2 linked regions of the Mus musculus genome follow. The protein of the gene in region 1 interacts with the protein of each later gene in a pairwise test. Links are inferred from orthologs where the notes say so. Each region holds a gene or a part of one and is shown on either strand. Other genes may lie near its edges. The genes, in order: Cyth4 and Fos.

What was found.
Region 2: the proteins of Cyth4 (region 1) and Fos interact in a two-hybrid assay, tested with the Homo sapiens proteins (2 studies listed by BioGRID and IntAct). The two-hybrid records come from large-scale screens. The link is inferred for Mus musculus from reciprocal best matches to the Homo sapiens genes CYTH4 and FOS.

Annotation. Positions count from the first base shown.
Region 1 is NC_000081.6:78,591,521-78,603,499, reverse strand, and holds the start of Cyth4 (cytohesin-4), read right to left. Parts: upstream 6,454-11,979; 5' UTR 6,300-6,453; coding exon 6,281-6,299; exon of another isoform or gene 6,177-6,280; coding exon of another isoform or gene 6,167-6,176; intron 4,935-6,166; exon of another isoform or gene 4,396-4,934; intron 3,609-4,395; exon of another isoform or gene 808-3,608; coding exon 725-807; exon of another isoform or gene 1-724. UniProt on the Homo sapiens protein: Promotes guanine-nucleotide exchange on ARF1 and ARF5. Promotes the activation of ARF factors through replacement of GDP with GTP.
Region 2 is NC_000078.6:85,473,144-85,485,068, forward strand, and holds Fos (proto-oncogene c-Fos), read left to right. Parts: upstream 1-746; 5' UTR 747-896; coding exon 897-1,037; intron 1,038-1,791; coding exon 1,792-2,043; intron 2,044-2,448; coding exon 2,449-2,556; intron 2,557-2,673; coding exon 2,674-3,315; 3' UTR 3,316-4,131; downstream 4,132-11,925. UniProt on the Homo sapiens protein: Nuclear phosphoprotein which forms a tight but non-covalently linked complex with the JUN/AP-1 transcription factor. In the heterodimer, FOS and JUN/AP-1 basic regions each seems to interact with symmetrical DNA half sites.

The sequences.
Region 1 (11,979 bases):
TGGAGGAGGAGGAGGTAGGGCCTTGTTCAGAAAGACGAAGGTGTGGGAGTGTGAGGAGAGCTGAGAGGAACCCCAAGTGGAGGCAAAGAAGTGTGCAGAGGCCCAGAGACTGGACTGAGCAAGGTGAGGATGGATGGACCTCAAGAATGGTGTCCTGTTTCTGGAGGCCACTAATAATCACGGGAGTGATCATTTAAGAAACCGGTGAGCTCCCCAGAGCTGAGCCCAGGGTGGGTGTGATCTTATCCAAAGGATGGGTGTGACCTTGTCCAAAGGACACAAGAGGGAGGAGTCACAAGCTTGCAACCTGGTCTGCTCTGGGCCTGGCCGCTGAGCCGGTGTGGGCAATCCCTGGCAGGTTCAACCTACTTTCTATTTTTGAGGTGGGATTAAGACTGGAGCTCTGGGACCTAGGATTGAGCTGAGAGGAGCCAGGGATCTAGGACTCAGGGTGGGGGAGCTGATGCTTGGATCTTGAGGGGAGGGGGTGGTGTCTGGGGCTTTGGGGAGGAGAAGACAAAGTCTGACTGGCTTTCTGAACATTTGGTCAGGAGAGTGGGAGATTGTGTTGAGGGCTGGCTTGTGGGCATATGTAGTTTAGCCATTAGTATGAGTGTGTGTGGGTCTCAGTGTGAGAATGTGTGGGTCAGAATGGGACCAGGTATGAGTGTGTTGAGTGTGAGTGTCTGTGGGTCTATGAGTGTGAGCATATGTATGAACACACCTGGATGTCTTCCAGTAGCTGCTTCCTGTGCCATTTGATCTGCTGTAGCTCCTTGGCCTCCCCACTGCTGAGCTCAGCTGGATCTGGAGAGAGAGAGAGAGAGAGAGAGAGAGAGAGAGAGAGAGAGAGAGAGAGAGAGAAGAGGATTGCTTGGTTCTGCATCTCAGAGCCCCTCCTAGGGAGACCCCTGAAATAAAGTGAGACCCATGATGCTGGTGACCCTTGCTGGTACCACTGGAGCCTGACTGGATGCCACCACCGCTGAGAGGCATCCTTGGACGTCCCTCTCTAGAGTGGCCCCACTTCTTCATCATAATTCCTTTTACTCCCTGGAGAGAGATTTCCTGTGGCCATTGTGGGGTCACCTGGCCATACCTAGCTGCAAGGGAAGCTGGCAAATGAGCTTCACTAGGGTGATCCCTATGTTGTAAGAAGGGAAAACAGAGCCTTTCCAACTTGGGCCTGGCAGAATGGCTCCCACAAAGAAGGGTGGCAAGAAGAAGAAGGGCCACTCTGTCATCAGTGAGGTGGGGACTTGAGAATATACATTCACAAACGCATCCATGGAGTGGGCTTCAAGAAGTGTGTCCCTAGGGCACTCGAGGAAATCTGGAAATTTGCCGTAAGGGAGATGGGGAGTCCAGATGTGTGCATTGATCAGGCTTGATAATGCTGTCTGGGCCAAAGGAATAAGGAATGTTTCATATCATATCTGAGTACGTTTGTCCAGAAAACGTAATGAGAATGAGGATTCACCAAACAAGCTCTACGCATTGGTAACTTACACGCCTGTAACTACATTAAAAAATCTATAGACCACCAATGTAGATGAGAACACTAAACCTGCTGAATGTCAAATACAGTGGCAGAACTGCCAACAAAAAAAGAAAGAAGAGAAAACAGAATTTGGGGGCAGGGTTGGCACAACATCAGTCTATGCTCTAAGACACTATAACTCAGATGTGAGAAGTAAACTGGGACCTTGGATTGGACTGGCTCCCAATCCCATGCTGTCCCATTATCCTCCAAAACAAAGAGAGACCCACAATGCTGGAGCCACACCAGGACACTGCACACTCGTCCCACCTACCATACTCCAGTCAGGACCTCCACGGAGCCAGGCACAGCAGCTCATCATACTTGTAATCCTAACATTTGGGAGGTTGAGGCAGGAGGATTACAAGTTTGATGCCAGCCTAGGCTATAGGGTGAGATGCAGTCTCATCAACAACAACCAAAAGCCAAACAATCAAAAGCAAACTACAGCCAACAACGTGGGCAGCTAAGGATCTCCAAGCCATCCCAGAAAGACCACGGTGGAGACCTTGGTCAGGGCACTTGATTCACCACTTCCTGTGGTTCAGGAAGAGAGGGTGTCCTTGAGTTCCTGCTAGCAGTGACTAACTGAGACAAAGGCCAAATGAAAGGACAGTGGAAAGGTTGGGGAGCAGGGAACGCAGGTTGCGAGGAGACATGGGTGGTTCTATGGAGGATGGCAAGCAGAGATTTGCAGGGGTTATCAGCAGGCAGGCACCCAGGAGGGGCATGAAGACACGACCAGTGACCAGCTCAGCTGACTCACCAGCCTCCTACGGGGCCATCTTGGCCCTGGAACAGCAAAGGAAGTAGCCATATGGCATGAGAAGAAGCTGGAGTCCTTCCTAGGTCCCCTGACGACCACCCATCAATGTCCAACCAGCCGGATGCAGATACAGGCACTGGGCCACTGTTTCCCTTGGACTGGAACCTTTGCTCTCAAAAAGACCGGCCAGTTCTTTACTTTTATTTTTGTGTTGCTAAGGATAGAACCAGAGGCTTTGAACAGGCCTGACAGATTCCCGACCACTGCGCCCCATCCTGTCCCAGCTATTCATGTTGGCTGGAGTCCGCACAGGTTCAGATAGATACCGCTCCTCTACTCAAGGGCTTTCAATGCCATGGGACCATAGGAAGCCCAGATCCCCTTCTTAGCAAAGGTTGTGTGCAATGGGACCTGAATGTCCCCACCCTTTGTCATCATCAAGGCCTGCTAGAGAATGGAGCAGCCTTGTGTGGATGCAGAGAAGGTTCCCTGCTTGGATCACCCCTCCAGGATGCACCATGCCCCTTCCCATTGCACATGCAGCTGGGTGCGGGGCTCCTTAAGTGGAAGTGCAGGCCTGTCACCTCAGTGGGATTTTCTTTTTGTCCCTGCAGGGGTAGAGATCCTCTTCCAAGGGGGCAGAGAGGAGTGTGATGCAGGTCTCATGGAAGTCCAAACTCTTGGATACCCAAGGGACCCCGGTCATTTAGTCTCCATGATTCTTTACAGGGGTAGTTCTCAGTTTAAGACTCGGGGACTCAGGGGGTGAGGTGACATATCCCAGGTCACACAACTGGAAAGGAACAGTATGGGATTTCAGTATGGTTACTGATACAGGCTTTGCCCAGGCAAGCCAGGTGTGAGTATGTATGTGCGCATACATGCATGCATGTGTGTACGCATGCTTGTGTGTGTGTGTACATGTGTGTGCATGCATGTATCTGTGTTTGGAGAGTGAATGAGCATGTATGTCCACCCCTGTAGAGGTCAGAGGCTGACACCACGTGTCTTCTTCTCTTTGAGACAGGTTTTATCCCTGGCTGTCCTGGAACTCAGTCTGTAGACCAGGCTGGCCTCAAACCCTACCTGCCTCTGCCTCCTGAGTGCCGGAACTAAAGGCATGCACTGTCACTGACAGCATCTCTCGTGAAACCTAGACTGACTGGCTACCAAGCTGCACCTGGACCTCAGTCATCTCTGGGAATTCCCCTCTACCCAGCCTCTTCTGAGCTCTAGGAATGCACCCCAATCCCAGGCACCTGACAGCACCTCCCTCTAGCCTCTGGGCACCGCCATCGCCAGGTCTTGTCACTTTTCCTTCCGTGTCCACGCTCCCCACTGACATCCGACCACCTTGAGGGAGGTGGAAGCTGGGTTTCCCAATGCCACTCCGCCTCCCTCTGTGTGCTGGCCCTGAGTGCTCTCAGTGCCCCTCCCTCTTGACTGAGGACCCACTGTGTGCACTGCTCCTCCCGTCTCTCAATCCCCCATACTCTGAAGAGGGGATTTCTAACTCCCTGCTATAGGTGATACTCTTGGGGTTCAGAGAGGTTAAATGGCCTCTCTCAGCCAACATAGCTGGTTGCGGTGGAGCTGGGGTAGCGCTCTACCTACCTGGGGCCAGAGCCTACAACCCTCCTAGAGCCTTGTGAAATCCACACGCCTGGGCAATCTGACCCTATGCCAACCACAACGGTGTGAAAGCGGTCACCTTCACCCCTACCTAGTCTGCCCTCTGTGTCCCAGTCTCAGGCCAGTGAGTGCCCAGTGCCCACTGCCCGGCAGCTGCCACCTCAGCTCCTCACCACTTCCCTCTCACCCTTCCTCTTTCCCATCTTATTTTTGGTGCCTGCAGCTTGGCTTCCAGGCCAGCTGGCCCCAGTTCCCCTTTCCTGGTGAAGGGGGTACCAGTGGGCGTACAGGGACGGGGCTCCTGAGGGGTGGTTAGGTAGAAGGGGAGGGAGCTTCCTCTCCCTGCCAGTGCGCTCTAGTGTTAGCCTGTCTGCCCTCATGCCTTCACCAGGCAGGGCTCACCTTGTTGCAGGCCCTGGGGGAAGGAAGGGTCTTAACCTGCTTCCCTGTAATGCAGGTTCATGGCGGAGCCAGAAGCAGCTTGGGAGAGCCTTTGCCACCATCCCCTTCCATAAACATCACAAAGGAGCCCGTGCCTCCTGCAGAAGAGACCCAGCCCTGGCACCTGCAGGGCAGATGCCCACATTCTCAGAGGCAGGCCAGGAAGACAAAGGACCAGCCGTTCACAGACAATGAATCTGAGGAGAGCCCCGGCCTCCATGGGCTTCTGTGGGACCTGGGTAACAGAAAGATTCCCCCTTCCCTGATGCCTCCCCCAGGAAGTCCCCAGTCCCCTTTCTCATTCTTCTCATTTGTGGGTATGGCCAGGCGGGGATCAGAGTCCTCTGTCCCTCCACTCAGCACCCTGGAATGTCAACCAGCTCCCCTTTGGCCATTTTGAAGCATGCCACGGGGCCGTTTGTAAAATGGATGAATAAATAATGAACAAACAGAATGATGGAGCAGTCCGTGGAGACCCTTTGCCTGGTCTCCCTTTGCCTTCTTGTTGGCCTTGAACCTCAGCCTAGTCCCTGTGTCTTTGTGGAACTTAACTCAACCGCCCCCCCCCCCCCCCACACACACAACACCCAAAGAGACAAGGGAGAGGTTATATTAAGGAGATCTTTGGTGGCCAGAGCCACAGCCTCTTCTTATATTATGTCCTGTCAAAGCCCCCTGTATCCCGACCATAAATAAATGGCTGTTGAAAGAGTCTGAGGGAGCCAGGTGCAGTGGTGGTGCACACCTTTAATCCCAGCACTTGGGAGGCAGAGGCAGGCAGGTCTCTGTGAGTTTGAGGCCAACCTGGTCTACAGAGCTAGTTCCAGGACAGTCAAGGCTACATGGAGAAACACTGTCTCCAAAAATCTAAAAATAAAGGGGGTGGGGATAAGAAAGAGAGAGAGAGAGAGAGAGAGAGAGAGAGAGAGAGAGAGAGAGAGAGAGAGAACAAACAAAAGAAAGGAAGGAAGGAAGAACCTGATCGGTTTCTGGAATACAGAACAAGGCATAGCATCTGGAGAATACCCAGCACCAGTGAGCAGGGCTCAGCACCAGTGGGCGGGGCTCAGCACCAGTGGGCGGGGCTCAGCACCAGTGGGCGGGGCCCAGTGCTGGTGGGTGGGGCCTGGCTGTTAAGGGTTAGGTATCATTTGGAGAATCTGTCACTCTGAACCAGTCATATAGACCTGGGGATCCAGACAGCCAGCAGCTGCAGTCCCTCAGAGCCCAGAACTCCAAGAGAACTCTCTGAGGGTACAGGGACATGGCTCCACCCACAGCCCTGCTCTCTGCTCCCTGAGAACCACACCAGCCTGTCCCTCCCATTTCCTTTTTCTCTGTCCCTCAGACCCACCGCCCTGGTTACTGAGTGAACAGGGCCTACTGTGCCAGGGCCTCATTGAATGAATGTTACTCCTTCAGGCAGTGTCCCCAGCCTCCATCAAACGTCACCAGACCCCAGGAGCTAAGAAGACTCTGTAGGGCCCTCACAGGGTCTAGGCAGGTGTCACCACCAACAATATCCACCTTCATCAGAAGTCATTCTTCCCAGGTCCCTTATGGGGGGCCTTCCCTCCTGAAAACTCTTCCTTGGAACTCCCAAGAACTCTGCTGAGCCGCGTCGGCCTGAGCACTCCCAATTCCTTCTTCCCTCGTCCTTGATCTCCTGTTTTATCTATCTTTTATCTCGTTTGTCATCATCCACCTCATAGTGCAGAGCCCAGGAGGTAAGCAACCACTCAGATGCCTGTGGGACCCCGAGGCCTGGAGTCTAGCCCGGTGCCTACCTCTGCACATGGAGTTTGAGGTTTTCTTTCCTGGCCTTCTGGGCACGGCTGCCCTTGATTCCCTGTTCTGCCGGAGGAAAGGACTGAGGCCCGTGGCTGGGACCTATCGCTTACCTGTGTGACACACATCCATTCTGAAGCCCAGGGGAAAGGTGGCCCAGCTGCTTGCCTTGCCAGCTCAGCTGCTGCTCTGGTGGGTAGCCAAGAGGACCAGTCATGGCCCCTTCCTGCCTGCCCCGCCCAGACCCTGTGGGAGGAAGTCAGCCCTGGCCACAGGGGTCTGTGCGCAGGCTCCTGACACAGAGCGCACTTCCTAAAGGCAGTTGAGTTTCACCAGTTAGCTCAGACCCTGGCATCTGAGTACTTGGAAAGTGGGGAAGCAGAAGGAAGACAGAGCTAGGGCAGGGGAGTGGGGGTGGGTGGATAAAGACAAACAGACAGACAGACAGACAGGTGGATTATGGGCCCCCACAAGCTCAGTCACAGGGGAAGAAGGTCCTAACGATGGACCTTCTCTGGGGGGCGCGGGTCTTTACCCAGCAACCTCTTTAAATATAAGCCAAAAGATTTCCCAGCTTCTAGGGTCCTCTCTGAACTCCCCTGAATCAAATCTCATTGGAGAAAAGACAAGTCATTCAGGGATGGGGGAGGGGCTTTGCTTTTTTTTTTTTTTTTAAAGAAATGCCCCCCCCCCCCCCCACGTCTCACAAAGTGTCTAATTTCCCTCTCTCCCCGGGCCGCTAGGAAACTCACCATCAAATCTGTACAATCCTTCCATGTGACTTTGTGGCCAGATCCAGTTGTTTGACCCTCAGCATCTCCACTCAGGCAGGTGTCACCACCAACAGGGTGCATGTGACTTCGGGCTAGTCAACCTATTACACCGAGTCTCATTTGGCTTGCGTCCGAAGAGAGTATGCACACTCAACCTTGGGAATGTAGAAAGAGCAGTGTAAGATTCTTGGAATGTAGTAGGTGTTCAAAAAATGATTTTCCTTTAGGCTTTAACTGCCCCCCCCCCAGCTGCCCCATTGTTGACTGCTTTGTTTCTCAGGCCTTTTCTGGTGAGTTGGTTCAGATCCTGCAGAGAAAAAGGGATGGCTGACAGAAACTTCAGTCAGAGGAGCGCTTACTCTTTGGAATTCAGGGCACATCCTGGCTCACTGATCTGTTTCCAATCTATTTAGAAGTCCAGTGAGGGCAAGGTCACATTTGTGTCCTAGTCTCTCGTAAAATGTGAGGAGAAAGGAGTGTTCAAGTGAGGATGAACTAATGAATGAGTGAATGAATGAATACACCCAGGGAAGATAGGCATGTAGTTCCTTCCTTGAGTGATGCAGACATTTCCGGCCTGGAGGTATAGGCCTGTCATCCTGGCTTCTTGGGAGACTGAGGCAGGAGGATTAAAAATTCAAGCCTGATCCAGTGAAAACCTGTCTTAAAATAAGAAACAAGAAGAGGGTTGGGGACATAGCTCATGGGTAGAGAGCTTGTCTAGCATAGCCAAGGCCCTGCACATGCACACGCACACACAGAAGTGGGGTGTGCCCCCCCCCCCACCGCCTGGAGTCTGAGCTCAACCCTGTGTCTTTGACCCAAAGTCTAGCTGAGAGAGTGGTGCAGTTTTATGTATCAACAACAGGGGGCGCCCTGGAGGCCTGGATTAATCTGGTTTACGGAATGGAGCAGGCTGGCCTCTGCAGCATTCTGGCTTTCCAGATGCCCTGTGTCTCCCACTTCTGTCCTTTCTCATCCAAGTTTGGCCACAGGACTTGCTAAGAAACAGGATCCTCCACAGGCAGCAGGAAGGTGGGAGCTAGTGCTTGCGGGTGGGGTGGGCTACAGCAGGGACAGAGAACTGGGGGAAAAGGTCCCCATTGCCACATCGAAATTCACCCTTAGGAATTTCTCCCGCCCCTGAGACCCCTCCCAGGATTACTGGTCATTAGCTAATGTGGGCAGCATCTGACCGCAATGGCGATCAGTTTACATTATGTAGGAGGAGCCAGTGCCTGTCATTAAAGGGACCATGACTTGGGTGATCATCAGGGTGGTTAGTGTAAATTGTCAACTTGACAGAGTCTAGAGCCCCCTGGGAGACAGGCCTCTGGACATGTCTGTGGGGGTCATCTTAGTTTTTGTTAATCAGGAAGGGGAGACCTGCCCACTGTGGGTGGCGCCATTCCCTGGCTGGCTTCCTGGACTGCATAAACAGAGACAGGAAGCTGAGCAGCAGCAGTGTGCTCATCTATCTTCCTCAGCTTCCTGACTGTGGGTGGAATTTCACTGGCTGCTTCAATCTGCTGCCTTGCCTCTTCTGTCATGGCGGACTGTACCTTTGAGCTCTGAGAAGAATAGAAACTAAGTTGCTTTTGTCAGAATATAATGTCATAGCAACAGGGAAAACAAACAAACACTAAGACAGCAACTAGGACAATGATGGCAAACCACAGTTCAGATGGCTTCCCTGCCCTGATAGTAAATATGTAACTCCTCCTGAAGGAGGGACTGATTGGCTCAGTCCTAGAGCGTCAGGACTGGGTTTGGACTGGGGCTATAGATGCCAGAAAGAAGACCTGAGCATCGCGCCTACACCTGTAGTGCTAGCATTTGGGAGGTGGAAGCAAGAGGAATTAGGAGTTCAAAGTCATTCTTGGCTATATTGGTGAGTTAGAGGCCAGCCTGGGCTACATGACACCCTATCTCAAAAACTGAAAAGACAAGGGGAGGAGAGCAAGGAGAGTGGCCATGAAGAAGCCACAGGCATCTCATTGCTACTGTGTCACCAAGGAGGATCTGGGGAGGAGGGCTAGCTTTCATGGGCAGGCAGAGAACCACCGTGGGATCACAATGCTGGAAACTGAGGTCCTGTCTGGAAGTCTTCTCTGGTCCCATTTTACAGACCCAGAGAGTGAGGTTTACAGACCTTCCTGCTGAGATCCAACCTCCAACTGTTGTTCTCTGTGGAGACACCTGTCTGGACATGGGGTCTTCTAAGTGACACTTGTCAGCTGGGGTGGCAGGCTGCCATGGAAAACCAGATGGTAGAGCCTTCAGAAATCGTGCTCCTCACACGTGCACCCACCCCTGCTGCTCTTGTGGCGTTTGTGGGTTCATGCCTTCGGTGTCTGTTGCACCCAAGAGCCCTGGAGAAGCAAGGGCTGCCTAGCTGCCTATCCTAGACTCAGGGCCTGGGTTCAGGCCACCACCCTGTCTCAGGGCAGTGCTGGGTCTCTAGGACCTGGGCTTCAAAATCTGGGTCTGCAGAGGCTGCACACACCGGATCTGTGGGGTCCGAGGACAGTATGGGGTTAGAGCGTGCTCAAGACTTTTCTTCCCTTCAGGTGTGTCAGGCTCAGAGATGAAGGGACCTTTGCCTTTGAAAGACTTAAATATGAGGACTGGGGAGACATCTCAGTTAGTGAAGTACTTTTTATAAGAGCAGGAGGACCCACATTCAGCCTCATGGGTTTTGTTACTTTTCTGTTGCTGTTACAAAATTCCATGACCAGGGCAACTTAATGAAGAAAGTATCTAACTGGGCTCACAGTACCAGTCCATCACCACTGTAGTGGGGAACACAGCAGCAGGGAGGTAGGCATGGCTCTGGAGCAGCTGAGCTCACATCTTGATCCACAAGTAGCAAGGCGGGGGGGGGGGGGGGGGGAGAGAGAGAGGGAGGGAGGGAGAGAGGAGAGAGAGAGACAGAGAGAGAGCGACAGAGAGAGAGCAACAGAGAGAGAGAGAGAGAGAGAGAGAGAGAGAGAGAGAGAGAGAGAGAGAGAGAGAAGTGGAGAGAGATTGAGGAAAATACCCTGGCCTTCACTTGTGTGTGTGTGTGCTGTCCTCAGAGCCCACAGATCCAGTGTGCAATATCACACACACACACACTAAATAGGGGCTCACAAAATGGCTCAGTGCAAGCCCGATGACCTGGACTCAGTCCTAGGAACCCACAAGGTGGAGAGAGAGCGAACAGAAGTCACAGTGTCATCCTCCGACCTTGGCATGGGTGAGGGCCCATTCCTCCCTCCCCACCACAAGCAATACTAAACATAAGAAAAAAGAAAGATGAAGTGTCACATAGTTCCCTAGAGGAGGACCGCCAGAACCATGCAAGGGAAGGCCTTGGGACAGAGGGCTCAAGTAGGGAGATGTCACTGGGCCTGGGCTATGGGGAGAGGGGTCACTGTGTCTGGCTCAGGCCTAGGCTGTCAGAGCAGAAGAATGGCAGGCTTGAGCGGGGCCCCGGGGTCCCACTGCACGTGGGAATTGATGCCAGAGCTCCTTCTAGGGAGATAGAAACGTCCACCCCCTTCTCCTATAGACCCACAGGTAGCCCAAAGTAGGGTCCCCCTGAAGTTCACCCTGGAGAACTAGTGAGTTTCTTGGGTGAACTTAGAGAGCCAGGGTGTGGGGCTGTCTGCAGGAACAGGGGTGACCCAAAGCAACTGCATTGAAAGTCTTCATCCAGCGTGGATAATGGCGGCCTCGTAGCTGGAATCCCCTCTACCTCCTCATTCTATACTCTTCTAGCACCTCCCCAGCCCCCCAGGGGCCATGTGTGATCAGGCCACGATTATCCACAAGTGGTTGGGAAGAGGGGCAGGAGCCTCAGGCGAGAGGAGGTTGTCCATCCCCACTCCTCTGAAGAAATGCCTGTTAACCAGTTCTGCGCGGTGGTCTGTTGTTAGCAGATATGGCTGATGGGAAAAGGAGGGCGGCTGTACCGCTTGGTACAGCTGTATGTGGAGGCGGCAGGCACGTGGCGGCTGTGAGCTACAGTGTCAGCCGCAGCTCATGAAATGCTGAGAACCTTCCAGTCTCCACCCTCGGTGTCCCTGCTCTGAGCCTTTGTGACCCTCCAGGCCCAGCATCCTTCTCTCTAAAATGAGGCACAGCAGTGTCTCATCGAAGCTCCGGGGTGGGGGTGGGGCAATGGCGGCAATAACATGACGCTGGTCACTACTGTGCCTTCCTTGGCTCCCGGGCACTTAATCCCTGGGCACAGGTAGGGTCTTGCTTGCTTTTGTTGAGATTTAGGAAAGATGCTCAGGGCAGATGACTCCCCGAAGCTGCAGCCATATCCCATGAGGCTCTCATGAAGGTATGTTTCTCCCCCATGAGTGATCTGGAGCCCTTTCACACCTGTGCTCGGGTGGATGGAACCCAAGCTCCCTCCTGTTTCTGTGGTGATGTCAGCATATCCTGTGGGCTGTAGCCTTCAGCAATGAATGGGTCTGACATCACCGGGAGCCTCCCACCCCAGAACTTTTCTCTAGCATGCTGTCAGGAAAATCTGCCTCACCAGGGCTCCAGCAGGCTTCTCCTTTTGCAGAGTGGAGAACTGAGTCACTTGCTCTGTTTCCCTTTTTGCCTTAGCTGCCAGGAAGCTCAGGCAAATCTGGGTCAGCCTCAGCACCCCCAGAGTTTGGCACATCACCTTTCCTGTGGCTAGCTTCTGCGCATGTGGTGGGAGTGGTCATTGGGAGGCGGAGTCTCAGTATGCAAAGAAGGGAAAGAGGAGAAAAAACAGGCTAGATGTAGAAAGGTGACCGCAGTTAAGTGGGGCCAGACCAGAAGTTCGAGGCATCAACATGCTGTGCGTTTCTCTCCCTTTCCCCAGGCCCTCTGCTCGAACAACACGTATCTGTGAAATTGGAGTTGGGTAGGGGTGGGGTGGGTATCCAGTTTCCTCAAGGGAAAGATGGGAAAGAGAGAGAGGCTGCTCCCCTCCCCCAAGATCATCTAAGAGGGCTCAGATCTGCAGAAGGTTCTCGCGGGGAAGAATGGGGGTGCCAGGGACTCGGAGG
Region 2 (11,925 bases), on another chromosome or scaffold:
TTTACAATCCTTCACTTGCTGCTTCCAACCTCAGTCCTAAAGTTTCTCCAGGCAAGGAGCTGGAGAGAGGGGCTGAGAAGCTGACCCCCCCTTTTTCTTCTCTGCACTGATTTGGGATGGGGGGCTGATGTGGGCAAGCTTTCCTTTAGGAACAGAGGCTTCGAGCCTTTAAGGCTGCGTACTTGCTTCTCCTAATACCAGAGACTCAAAAAAAAAAAAAAAGTTCCAGATTGCTGGACAATGACCCGGGTCTCATCCCTTGACCCTGGGAACCGGGTCCACATTGAATCAGGTGCGAATGTTCGCTCGCCTTCTCTGCCTTTCCCGCCTCCCCTCCCCCGGCCGCGGCCCCGGTTCCCCCCCTGCGCTGCACCCTCAGAGTTGGCTGCAGCCGGCGAGCTGTTCCCGTCAATCCCTCCCTCCTTTACACAGGATGTCCATATTAGGACATCTGCGTCAGCAGGTTTCCACGGCCGGTCCCTGTTGTTCTGGGGGGGGGACCATCTCCGAAATCCTACACGCGGAAGGTCTAGGAGACCCCCTAAGATCCCAAATGTGAACACTCATAGGTGAAAGATGTATGCCAAGACGGGGGTTGAAAGCCTGGGGCGTAGAGTTGACGACAGAGCGCCCGCAGAGGGCCTTGGGGCGCGCTTCCCCCCCCTTCCAGTTCCGCCCAGTGACGTAGGAAGTCCATCCATTCACAGCGCTTCTATAAAGGCGCCAGCTGAGGCGCCTACTACTCCAACCGCGACTGCAGCGAGCAACTGAGAAGACTGGATAGAGCCGGCGGTTCCGCGAACGAGCAGTGACCGCGCTCCCACCCAGCTCTGCTCTGCAGCTCCCACCAGTGTCTACCCCTGGACCCCTTGCCGGGCTTTCCCCAAACTTCGACCATGATGTTCTCGGGTTTCAACGCCGACTACGAGGCGTCATCCTCCCGCTGCAGTAGCGCCTCCCCGGCCGGGGACAGCCTTTCCTACTACCATTCCCCAGCCGACTCCTTCTCCAGCATGGGCTCTCCTGTCAACACACAGGTGAGTTTGGCTTTGTGTAGCCGCCAGGTCCGCGCTGAGGGTCGCCGTGGAGGAGACACTGGGGTGTGACTCGCAGGGGCGGGGGGGTCTTCCTTTTTCGCTCTGGAGGGAGACTGGCGCGGTCAGAGCAGCCTTAGCCTGGGAACCCAGGACTTGTCTGAGCGCGTGCACACTTGTCATAGTAAGACTTAGTGACCCCTTCCCGCGCGGCAGGTTTATTCTGAGTGGCCTGCCTGCATTCTTCTCTCGGCCGACTTGTTTCTGAGATCAGCCGGGGCCAACAAGTCTCGAGCAAAGAGTCGCTAACTAGAGTTTGGGAGGCGGCAAACCGCGGCAATCCCCCCTCCCGGGGCAGCCTGGAGCAGGGAGGAGGGAGGAGGGAGGAGGGTGCTGCGGGCGGGTGTGTAAGGCAGTTTCATTGATAAAAAGCGAGTTCATTCTGGAGACTCCGGAGCAGCGCCTGCGTCAGCGCAGACGTCAGGGATATTTATAACAAACCCCCTTTCGAGCGAGTGATGCCGAAGGGATAACGGGAACGCAGCAGTAGGATGGAGGAGAAAGGCTGCGCTGCGGAATTCAAGGGAGGATATTGGGAGAGCTTTTATCTCCGATGAGGTGCATACAGGAAGACATAAGCAGTCTCTGACCGGAATGCTTCTCTCTCCCTGCTTCATGCGACACTAGGGCCACTTGCTCCACCTGTGTCTGGAACCTCCTCGCTCACCTCCGCTTTCCTCTTTTTGTTTTGTTTCAGGACTTTTGCGCAGATCTGTCCGTCTCTAGTGCCAACTTTATCCCCACGGTGACAGCCATCTCCACCAGCCCAGACCTGCAGTGGCTGGTGCAGCCCACTCTGGTCTCCTCCGTGGCCCCATCGCAGACCAGAGCGCCCCATCCTTACGGACTCCCCACCCAGTCTGCTGGGGCTTACGCCAGAGCGGGAATGGTGAAGACCGTGTCAGGAGGCAGAGCGCAGAGCATCGGCAGAAGGGGCAAAGTAGAGCAGGTGAGCAGCGATTCTGGACCTTTGTGGGCTGGGGGGGGGGGGGGGGGCGGAGACTGACGCACAGACCACACAACAGAGAAGGGACGCTACTGACTGCACTTCCTGACCAGGAGCTGTGGCTGCTAGCCCTTTCCCTCCCTTGTCAGATTTTGACAGTTGGACCCAAGACAAACTCTAGACAGTTTCCCTGACAGCTTCCTACTTCATTCTCTAGCCGGGGAGCTTCTTTGTTCCCCTGCTAAAGATCTCACTTTAAATGCAAATCACACTCTGCCTGCCAACTGCAGGTTAGAAAAACTGCTTCACCGAGAGGTGCGGGTGCTGTAGGAGCCAGTTTCACTGGGGTGACTGAATGGAGGTGACACTAGACAACCTTAACTGAATGTTGGTCCTTTTCTTCTATAGCTATCTCCTGAAGAGGAAGAGAAACGGAGAATCCGAAGGGAACGGAATAAGATGGCTGCAGCCAAGTGCCGGAATCGGAGGAGGGAGCTGACAGATACACTCCAAGCGGTAGGTTGAACCAGCTGCTGCTCCTGAAACTTTATTAAAGTTGGAGCTTGGGACTATGGGCGCAGGGTCCTTGAGCATGCCCGTGTCTTATGCTTTCTTATATCTCTCCCTATGCAGGAGACAGATCAACTTGAAGATGAGAAGTCTGCGTTGCAGACTGAGATTGCCAATCTGCTGAAAGAGAAGGAAAAACTGGAGTTTATTTTGGCAGCCCACCGACCTGCCTGCAAGATCCCCGATGACCTTGGCTTCCCAGAGGAGATGTCTGTGGCCTCCCTGGATTTGACTGGAGGTCTGCCTGAGGCTTCCACCCCAGAGTCTGAGGAGGCCTTCACCCTGCCCCTTCTCAACGACCCTGAGCCCAAGCCATCCTTGGAGCCAGTCAAGAGCATCAGCAACGTGGAGCTGAAGGCAGAACCCTTTGATGACTTCTTGTTTCCGGCATCATCTAGGCCCAGTGGCTCAGAGACCTCCCGCTCTGTGCCAGATGTGGACCTGTCCGGTTCCTTCTATGCAGCAGACTGGGAGCCTCTGCACAGCAATTCCTTGGGGATGGGGCCCATGGTCACAGAGCTGGAGCCCCTGTGTACTCCCGTGGTCACCTGTACTCCGGGCTGCACTACTTACACGTCTTCCTTTGTCTTCACCTACCCTGAAGCTGACTCCTTCCCAAGCTGTGCCGCTGCCCACCGAAAGGGCAGCAGCAGCAACGAGCCCTCCTCCGACTCCCTGAGCTCACCCACGCTGCTGGCCCTGTGAGCAGTCAGAGAAGGCAAGGCAGCCGGCATCCAGACGTGCCACTGCCCGAGCTGGTGCATTACAGAGAGGAGAAACACGTCTTCCCTCGAAGGTTCCCGTCGACCTAGGGAGGACCTTACCTGTTCGTGAAACACACCAGGCTGTGGGCCTCAAGGACTTGCAAGCATCCACATCTGGCCTCCAGTCCTCACCTCTTCCAGAGATGTAGCAAAAACAAAACAAAACAAAACAAAAAACCGCATGGAGTGTGTTGTTCCTAGTGACACCTGAGAGCTGGTAGTTAGTAGAGCATGTGAGTCAAGGCCTGGTCTGTGTCTCTTTTCTCTTTCTCCTTAGTTTTCTCATAGCACTAACTAATCTGTTGGGTTCATTATTGGAATTAACCTGGTGCTGGATTGTATCTAGTGCAGCTGATTTTAACAATACCTACTGTGTTCCTGGCAATAGCGTGTTCCAATTAGAAACGACCAATATTAAACTAAGAAAAGATAGGACTTTATTTTCCAGTAGATAGAAATCAATAGCTATATCCATGTACTGTAGTCCTTCAGCGTCAATGTTCATTGTCATGTTACTGATCATGCATTGTCGAGGTGGTCTGAATGTTCTGACATTAACAGTTTTCCATGAAAACGTTTTTATTGTGTTTTCAATTTATTTATTAAGATGGATTCTCAGATATTTATATTTTTATTTTATTTTTTTCTACCCTGAGGTCTTTCGACATGTGGAAAGTGAATTTGAATGAAAAATTTTAAGCATTGTTTGCTTATTGTTCCAAGACATTGTCAATAAAAGCATTTAAGTTGAATGCGACCACCTTCTTGCTCTCTTTATTCTCAGTTTTGTATGGTTTCAGGAAGGCCTCTGAGGAGACCAGTTTGTCAAGATGGGTGGGTCCTGGAGGGGAACACGCCCTCTGTCCCCTTATCACTCAGAGGACACGCTAGTTCAGGGTATTTTACAGAGATGTGTGTTCATATTGCATTGCCTGCCTTGGGGCTGAAGGCTGCCTGTAACAGCTTGTGCAAGGATGTGCTTTTCTGCATGCTTATCTTCGCCTTAGTGATTTTCATGGGAAAGGAATCCTTTGAACAGAGCCTAGCTCTACACAAACTTTTTTGTTGTTGTTGTTTTGTGAACTGAAGAAGAGTTGAAATAAGCGACCTTCCACACTGCAAACCAGATCGCCACTTCCCCCTCCTGTCCATTATTAGGCTGAACTGCCTCTTTAAAAAAAAAGTATATATATATATATATATATATATATATACACACACATATATATATATAACTAAAATATGTATTTATTTATGTGGGGAGGGCATTCATGTACTTGAGGTCATGCACTTGAGGTCATGGGACAACTTCCAGACTTTTTCTCAAGAACACGACCTTTGGGAATTGAACTCAGGTTAGCAGGCACCTAGACCCACCAAGCAGCCAATCTTGCCAGTCCCCCTCCCCCTTTAAAGATGTATTTATTTCTATTTTCTGTGTAAGGGTGTTTCGCTGGCATGTGTGTCTATGCACCAGGTGCATATGCAGTGTCCATAGAGGCCAGAAGAGGGCAAGGGATCCTGTGGGACTGGAGTTCTGAGACAATGGCAGCTACCCAAGCAAGCACCAGGAATCTAAATCTGGGCTCTCTGCAAGTCTAACAACTGCTTTTAACTGCTCATCCGTCTTCCTAGCCCTCCTGAACTACCTTCCACACCTTAGCCTTAAAAGGTTTCCCTTGGTTAAAACACACACACACACACACACACACACACACACACACACACACGAGTGCGCGCACATGCACGCAAACAAATTTTCAATTGTTTGTTTACTTTTAAGATGGGTCTAACTTAGCCTAGTCTGACCTCAAACTTGCTATGTAGCTGAGGCTGGCCCTGTATTCCTGATCTTTCTGTTTATATCTCCCAAGTGCTGGCTTTACAGGTATGCACCGTCATTCGGTTCCTTACTCAAACATATGTTCATTTAGTCAACCCTTTTTATTCTCCAAAGAGAGCAGGCTATCTATTATCCTGTGCCACCATGAAAAACAAATCCCAACTTCCGAAGCTACTTTAACACTTGGGTGTAATTCACAGTACAGTAGGGGAAAAGGAATGGACATTTAAATTATCTTGAGCAGCATAAATAATGGCTGATCAACCAGTCTGTAAATAAGAAGTTACATAATAGCTCAGTAGGGAAGGGTCAGAAGACTTCGGGTGAGCTTAGCTTAGAAAGTTTATCATCTCAAAGAAGAACATGACCTTTGCCTGGGACACCTCAGGTAATGACTGCTGCTCTCTCTCTTGCTTACATGCAAACCAAAAGGAAAGAAAAATGAGCCACTCCCTACCCTTGCTCTCTGGTACCTAAAAACCATAGACTGTTTCCACGCATGCTGGGTGGAAGGGGAGCCTTCAGGTCATTAGTGGTAATGACAATCACGCTGTGGTCACAGTGGGCCTCGTACTCTGTCGAGCTGTGTTTCAATTTCAAACGACAGTTCCATTACACGTGAGCTGTTAACCTATGATCTACCTGCTCCTACCACAGTGATTGACACTTCCAAGCAATTTACCCAAGTCTCTCTAGAACGTTCTTTACAGCACATTCCACTTGCACACACTGCTTTGGCCAGTCCTGAGTTATGGAGAGGCCTTGTTGGTACACCAATAATCCCAGAGCTGAGGAGAGAGGCTTGAGTTCTGGGCTACACTGTGAGATCCTATATAAATTAAATGAAATGTAAAAAAAAAACAAAAAAAAACCAAAACCCAAAAACCTTTAGAATTAATGTAACATTTACAAGGACTCGGTGAGCTCTTTTAAATGTGTGGTGGTAATGAGCTGAGAGGAATGTTCCAGATTGGAAAGAACAGCAAGGAAAGCAGCTTGCCCCTCCCCCCACTCCCGGGGGCCTCCCTAATGGCCCTGGCAGTTGTAAACTAGCTGTGGAAGAAGAGCATCCCCTTTTCTTTGACAGGTCTGACACAAAGCCTTTCTCCAGGTCACCACAGCCCAGGCCATGGTCCATCCACAGGCAAACACTGAAACTCTAGGAAGACAGAATCTCTGAAAGGTTTCTCCAAGTTCCTGGGATTCCCCCGAAGGACTAACACCTTCTGAGCTCCCTGCCAGCTACTTCCGTGGTCTAGAGTATCTTCCCTGTCTGGCCAAAGGACTCCTTCCAAATCCCCCCTTACCAGGGACTCTGGATTTAAAAATTCCTGAGGAAGACTGGCACTAGGAATGTCACCTTTCTTTTGGGGACACTTCCATCCCTTCTCAGAAGACAAAGCCTCAAACTAGTTTCAGGGGAACAATTACCTGCCTGGCTTCAGCGTCACTAACATTGATACAAGTCCTGACCATACAACAGAAAGGGCTAAAGACCAGGGACCATTTCCCTTAGGGACCATGTCAAGCCTGACCCGCCAATGGACTCTAAGACCCAGTTCAGAGCTATAGTACAGGATTAACAAACATTTTGCTCAGTGGGTGAATGAATAAGTTCCAAACTCTTTCTACGATCAGAAACTGGTCTGTGTATGTTCTGTAGTTTCTGTTCCAGTCCCCCTTTCCGATGTTAGGCAATAGGAATGTTACATCTTTTACCTCTGGCTGCAGACACACAGGCCACTTCTGTCCTTCATTCCTGGAATTCCTTCATTGCCTCCCCTGGGTTCCATCTGCCATTTCAGCAAAGCGAATGACTGACTGTGCAATGACTGAAATTAATTTCAGATACTAGAAGAAAAAATACTCATCTTTGCAGAACAGTGGATAACAGGCTCCCAACACCTTTGCATACCCCTAGAGCTCATGCGATTATCAAAACTAGAGAGGAGTACTTTGTGCTCTATTTAAACCAATCATGTTCTGTTTAATTAGTCTCAGGCACAGTAAAAACGCTAAGATGGTTACCTTAAGCAAATGATCCCAAGTTTCAATGTGTCTGAAGTAAAAGAAGAAACAAAAGCAAAAGCAACCTTTAAACTGTGCACACGTTTCCTCTGAAGCAGTCCCTCGGAGGGCAAGGGATAGAGTGGCATCTGGATAGAGTGGCATCTGGATAGAGTGGCATCTGGATAGAGTGGCATCTGGATAGAGTGGCATCTGGATAGAGTGACATCTGAATGCTGAACAGTGCTCATGCTTTAAATCGTGCTGGCTTTCTGTTAACATTAAGAAGTTGACCCTTGATTCTTCTGGTGCCCTCAAGTCCCCATAAACACACAGGGCATGGGACTCCCTTGCATTCTGCACACATCTAGTACTCATTCCTTGAAGAGGGTGTTTGTTTGTTTGTTTGTTTGTATTGTGCTGATAAGCCTCTACCTGGGCCTCTTTGCCCAAACTGGCAAAGACATCCAGGTCCCAGCTCAAAGCAAGTCTCCTTCTAGACACCTTCCCTGGCCACTCTATCTAGGGTGTCTTCTGGGCACACTCCCTGAATGACGTTTTCCTGATTGGATCTCATAGCATTCATTTCTCGCTAGCTGCGACATCCAATCTTGGTTTTCTTTCACTTAAAATAATAAATGTCTCGTCCCATGAGAACAATGATCTTTTGTATCTTGATCACAACCGTGTCTCTCAGGGTTGTTGACTGAGTGCAAATAGATGAATGAATGAACACAGATGACAATTATGAAAGTGTCGTAAGAGAGCCAGACCTTAGAAGGGAATATTAACCTCAAAGATGTCTCCAAGGGTAGAAGACCATGGCCCTTTATTAAATACAAACTCCAGGCTGGAGAGGTAGCTCAGCTGTTAGCACCTGCCATTCCTCCAGAGGACCCAAATTCAGTTCCTAGAATCCATGATGAGTGGCTTATAACTGCCTACCACTCCTGCTATGGGGGAGGGAGAGCCAACATCCCTGGCTTTGGTGGGCTCCATCACTCACTCATGCATACACATACATCTAAGTGAAAAGTAAAATAAATAAAATGTAAGCAACAACAAACGGCAAGCTCTCCAGACGTCTCAGTAGACGAGGGAGCCTGATGACCCGAGTCCATCCCTGGAGATCCTGTGAAGGTGGAAGGAAAGAATCGATGCCACAGAGTTGTCCTCTGACCCCTGACATTTGTGCACCCACACTCGTTTTAAAGAAATTCATGTTGCTCTAAGGATGGCTATTCACACCTACAGTTCCAACACTGGGGAGACTAAAGCAAGAACGTTGCCATGAATTTGAGGATAGCATAGTCTACAGAGTGAATTCTAAGCCAGCCTGGGCTACAGAGTAAGACCCTGTTTTGTTTGTTTTTGCTTTGTTTTTAAACAAGACAAACAAATAATCAAAATGTATTCACCTTGGTACAAAACACTCAGAGTCTAATACAAGTCTGTTTTGAGTTCATTCAGTGTGCAACCTTTAATTTAGTCTGCATTAGAATGGAAGGAAGAGTAAGGGTTACCTAGTTCCCATTATCCATATCACTATCGTTAGCCAAGAGAAGGTCCACACCTGCTGTAGATAAGATGTACTAGATGCTGGTGAATGACTTTGGTCTCTGGAAGGAGCCAGTTGGGTAGGTTTCCCTTGTCTTTGCAAGCAGGAAAAAGCAACAGAAATCTAAACCAGTTTAGTTGCAATACAATCCATTTCAATGGTTCCACAGACCCACTCATGGACTAAGCTGAAATGCATTTCCTTTGTCCAAAACACATTGTCCTGTTACTCAAGAGGACGAAAGTAGAAAGTGTTCTGGCTACTGTCCCAAGCAGGCTGCCTAGTCTGGTCATTAGCTTTCCCCCACAATCCCTAACTTTCAGCCCTGGTGTTTGGGTTTGGTTAAAGCAAATGATTAGAAGTCTGGGGACCCACAGGTGTCTAATTGTTGGTTATGTTAGAAACTCTTTGTTCTAGAACCAGGCCCAGAGGCTACAGGGATGTAGTGGTATTGGGCTTGCTAGCCTGTGTGAGGCCCTGGGTTGGCTCCATAACACTATGAAATGAACAAATATTAGCAGGAGGCCTGTGTGGAAAGGACCTAGTTTAAAAGGCCTGGGACAAAAAGCAACTTTATCCTGACTGTTAGTGGCCCAGGGTCTACTTGCCATGTTTATTTAGGGGAGAAATTAACTGGGTTAACCGATCATATGACAGGTAAATTTATCAAGACAATGTGATAACGTAGTCTGGATCCAATATTGCAAAGTGTTCCAGAATATAGACTTAGTTCTGAATCCTGGCTCCTCGACCTTAGGCAAATCAAGCAGTCTGTACTCAGCTTCCTCAGTGGTAAAATGGAGATGGTAATTGTGGGTGGCTATTGAGACTGCTATGGGCACTCAGAGAAGCAAATCAGTATTACAGCTCCTAAGTGTGAAAAATATGGTAGAATAGTTGGCTGTTATTATGCCTTTTGGGAGATGACGGTCAGTCAGAGAAGCACATAGGGATTGCATTATATAGGATAACCAGTTGGAGGTAAGCAGAGGGGAGGGTGGGGAATCTAACATTTACATCAATATCGAAGCATCAAAAGTGAAGGAAGTTAAAGGTAGGGCAAGAATAGATAACTGTGGCCAGATTGCTCCGAGCCTGGTATTTAATTTAGATCAGTCTGTTTGAAGACTTAGTTACAGCAGTGGTGGCAGGAATGGAGAGGAACAAGTGGTAATTAGGAGGAAGACGTCCCAGGCTTGGTGACAGGGTAGATGTGGGTTTTGATGGAGAGGGAGGAATCTATGCCCATTGCTAGGTTTACCGAGCTTGACACACAGTGAGGCTTATGGCTCCCCCAGGGACTTGGTGTCCATAGAAAGAAGCATGGGTTTCGGGGATGTGGATTAGCTTCGTGTGGAACATGTTAGCTTGCAATGCCTAGAGGATCCATCTAGGGGGAGATGGAGGTTAGTCCCAGTAACCTAGTAGAAAATGGAAAGAGTTGATGGGGTTTATTCAGAGCACAAGGTTGGCACAGAACCTGTGGCCCTGGGGTAAGGTTTCACATGAACCTGTTCGTGCCAGGATCTGCTCTATACTGTAGAGGAAGTTCAGGGTCAGGGATTGCTCTACTAATCAGTGTGCCTCTCACAACTGGCACTTGATAGGCACACAATCATTATCATGTTGTCAAATGGTTGCCTCATTTGGTCTTGTCAACACAACAGTTCAACGAGACAGCTGTTAGTGCCTTCATTTCATAGGAATGGAGCATGGCCCAGGAAACAGTAAGTGTCTTGGCCAAGGGCCCACAGCTGATAAGTAGCAGACCTGAGATTTGAATACACACTTTGTGAATCTAAAGAGCCCCAATTGCTTAACCACATTACCGGATCATTAGAATTTGACTCTAGGTATATGATCTGCTCCTCTGAGATGATCTTTATGCCCATCAGGGGTGGTGGGATTAAAGTATCTCTTAAGCCGGAGCTGGAGAGAGAGCACAGCAAGCAAAGTGCTGCTGCCAAACCTGACAACCTGAGATCCATCCCAAAGACCCACAGGATAGAGAGGAAAAAGTAACTGTACGGCTCGTCCTCTGACTGCTCCATACACACAATGTCAATAAACAAGCAGGCAAATACATGCATTCTTGTGGCTGAAACAGGCAGATCTCTGTATTTCCCATTTATTTATTTATTTATTTATCTATTTATTTATTTTTATTTTGTGTGTGTGTATGTGTGTGTGTGTGTGTGTGCGCACACACACTTGTGTCATGGTGATATGGAGGGCAACTTTTGGGAGTCAGTCTTCTTTTTCCATTTCTACATGGCTTCTAAGGGACCAAACTCAAGTCACCAGCATTGATCTACAAGAGCTTTACTGGCTGAGCAGTCATCATCCTAAAAAAAAATAAAGATGTATTATTTACGTATATAGGTACTTTGTCTGCATGTCCATCTGCCCAGCAGAAGGTGGCATCAGACAAGCCTGAGCTGTCATGTGGATGCTGGGACTTGAACTCAGGACCTTCAGAAGAGCAGTGTGTTCTTGACCATTGAGCCCCCAGCTGAACTATCTTGCTGGCCCCTTTAAACCAATTTTGTTTGTTTGTTGACAAAGGGTCTTATCATTTAATCTTGGCTGGTCTGGAAATTGGTAGCAGACCAGACTGGCCTTGAACTATAGAGATCCTACTGCCTCTACCTCCTGAGTGCTACCATGTGCCCTATCCCCCAAACAGATTTGACAGAAAGTATCTAGTTATGGTGTCCCATACCCGTAACCCCCAAATTGAGGAGTGGGTATAGGAAGGTCACCTCTGAAAGGTAGTTCAAGGCTACCTTTGGCTGTAGAGCTAGTTTGAGATCAGCATGAATGGTTCAAACCCTTTCTGGAAAAAAAAAAAAACAGGCAAAAGCCAACTGATATAACACAGTGACTGTGAAAGGCAAACTGAACTTGAGTCTCTTCAGTTAGCTCTGTCACTGTGTCTGAGCACCTGTGTGCTGGTGTGTGTTTACACATTCTTGTGAAGCGATGTAACATTTTGTCATGCTTCCTGGCAAATGCATTGTGGTGAACACGTTTAGTATTTTTATTATATGTTACCTTCCTAGTGTGTTCTTTAAAATGGGAGATTTCTCTAAAATTGTTTGCTTTGAAACTGAAGGACAATCAGGAAAACATGACACTGGATG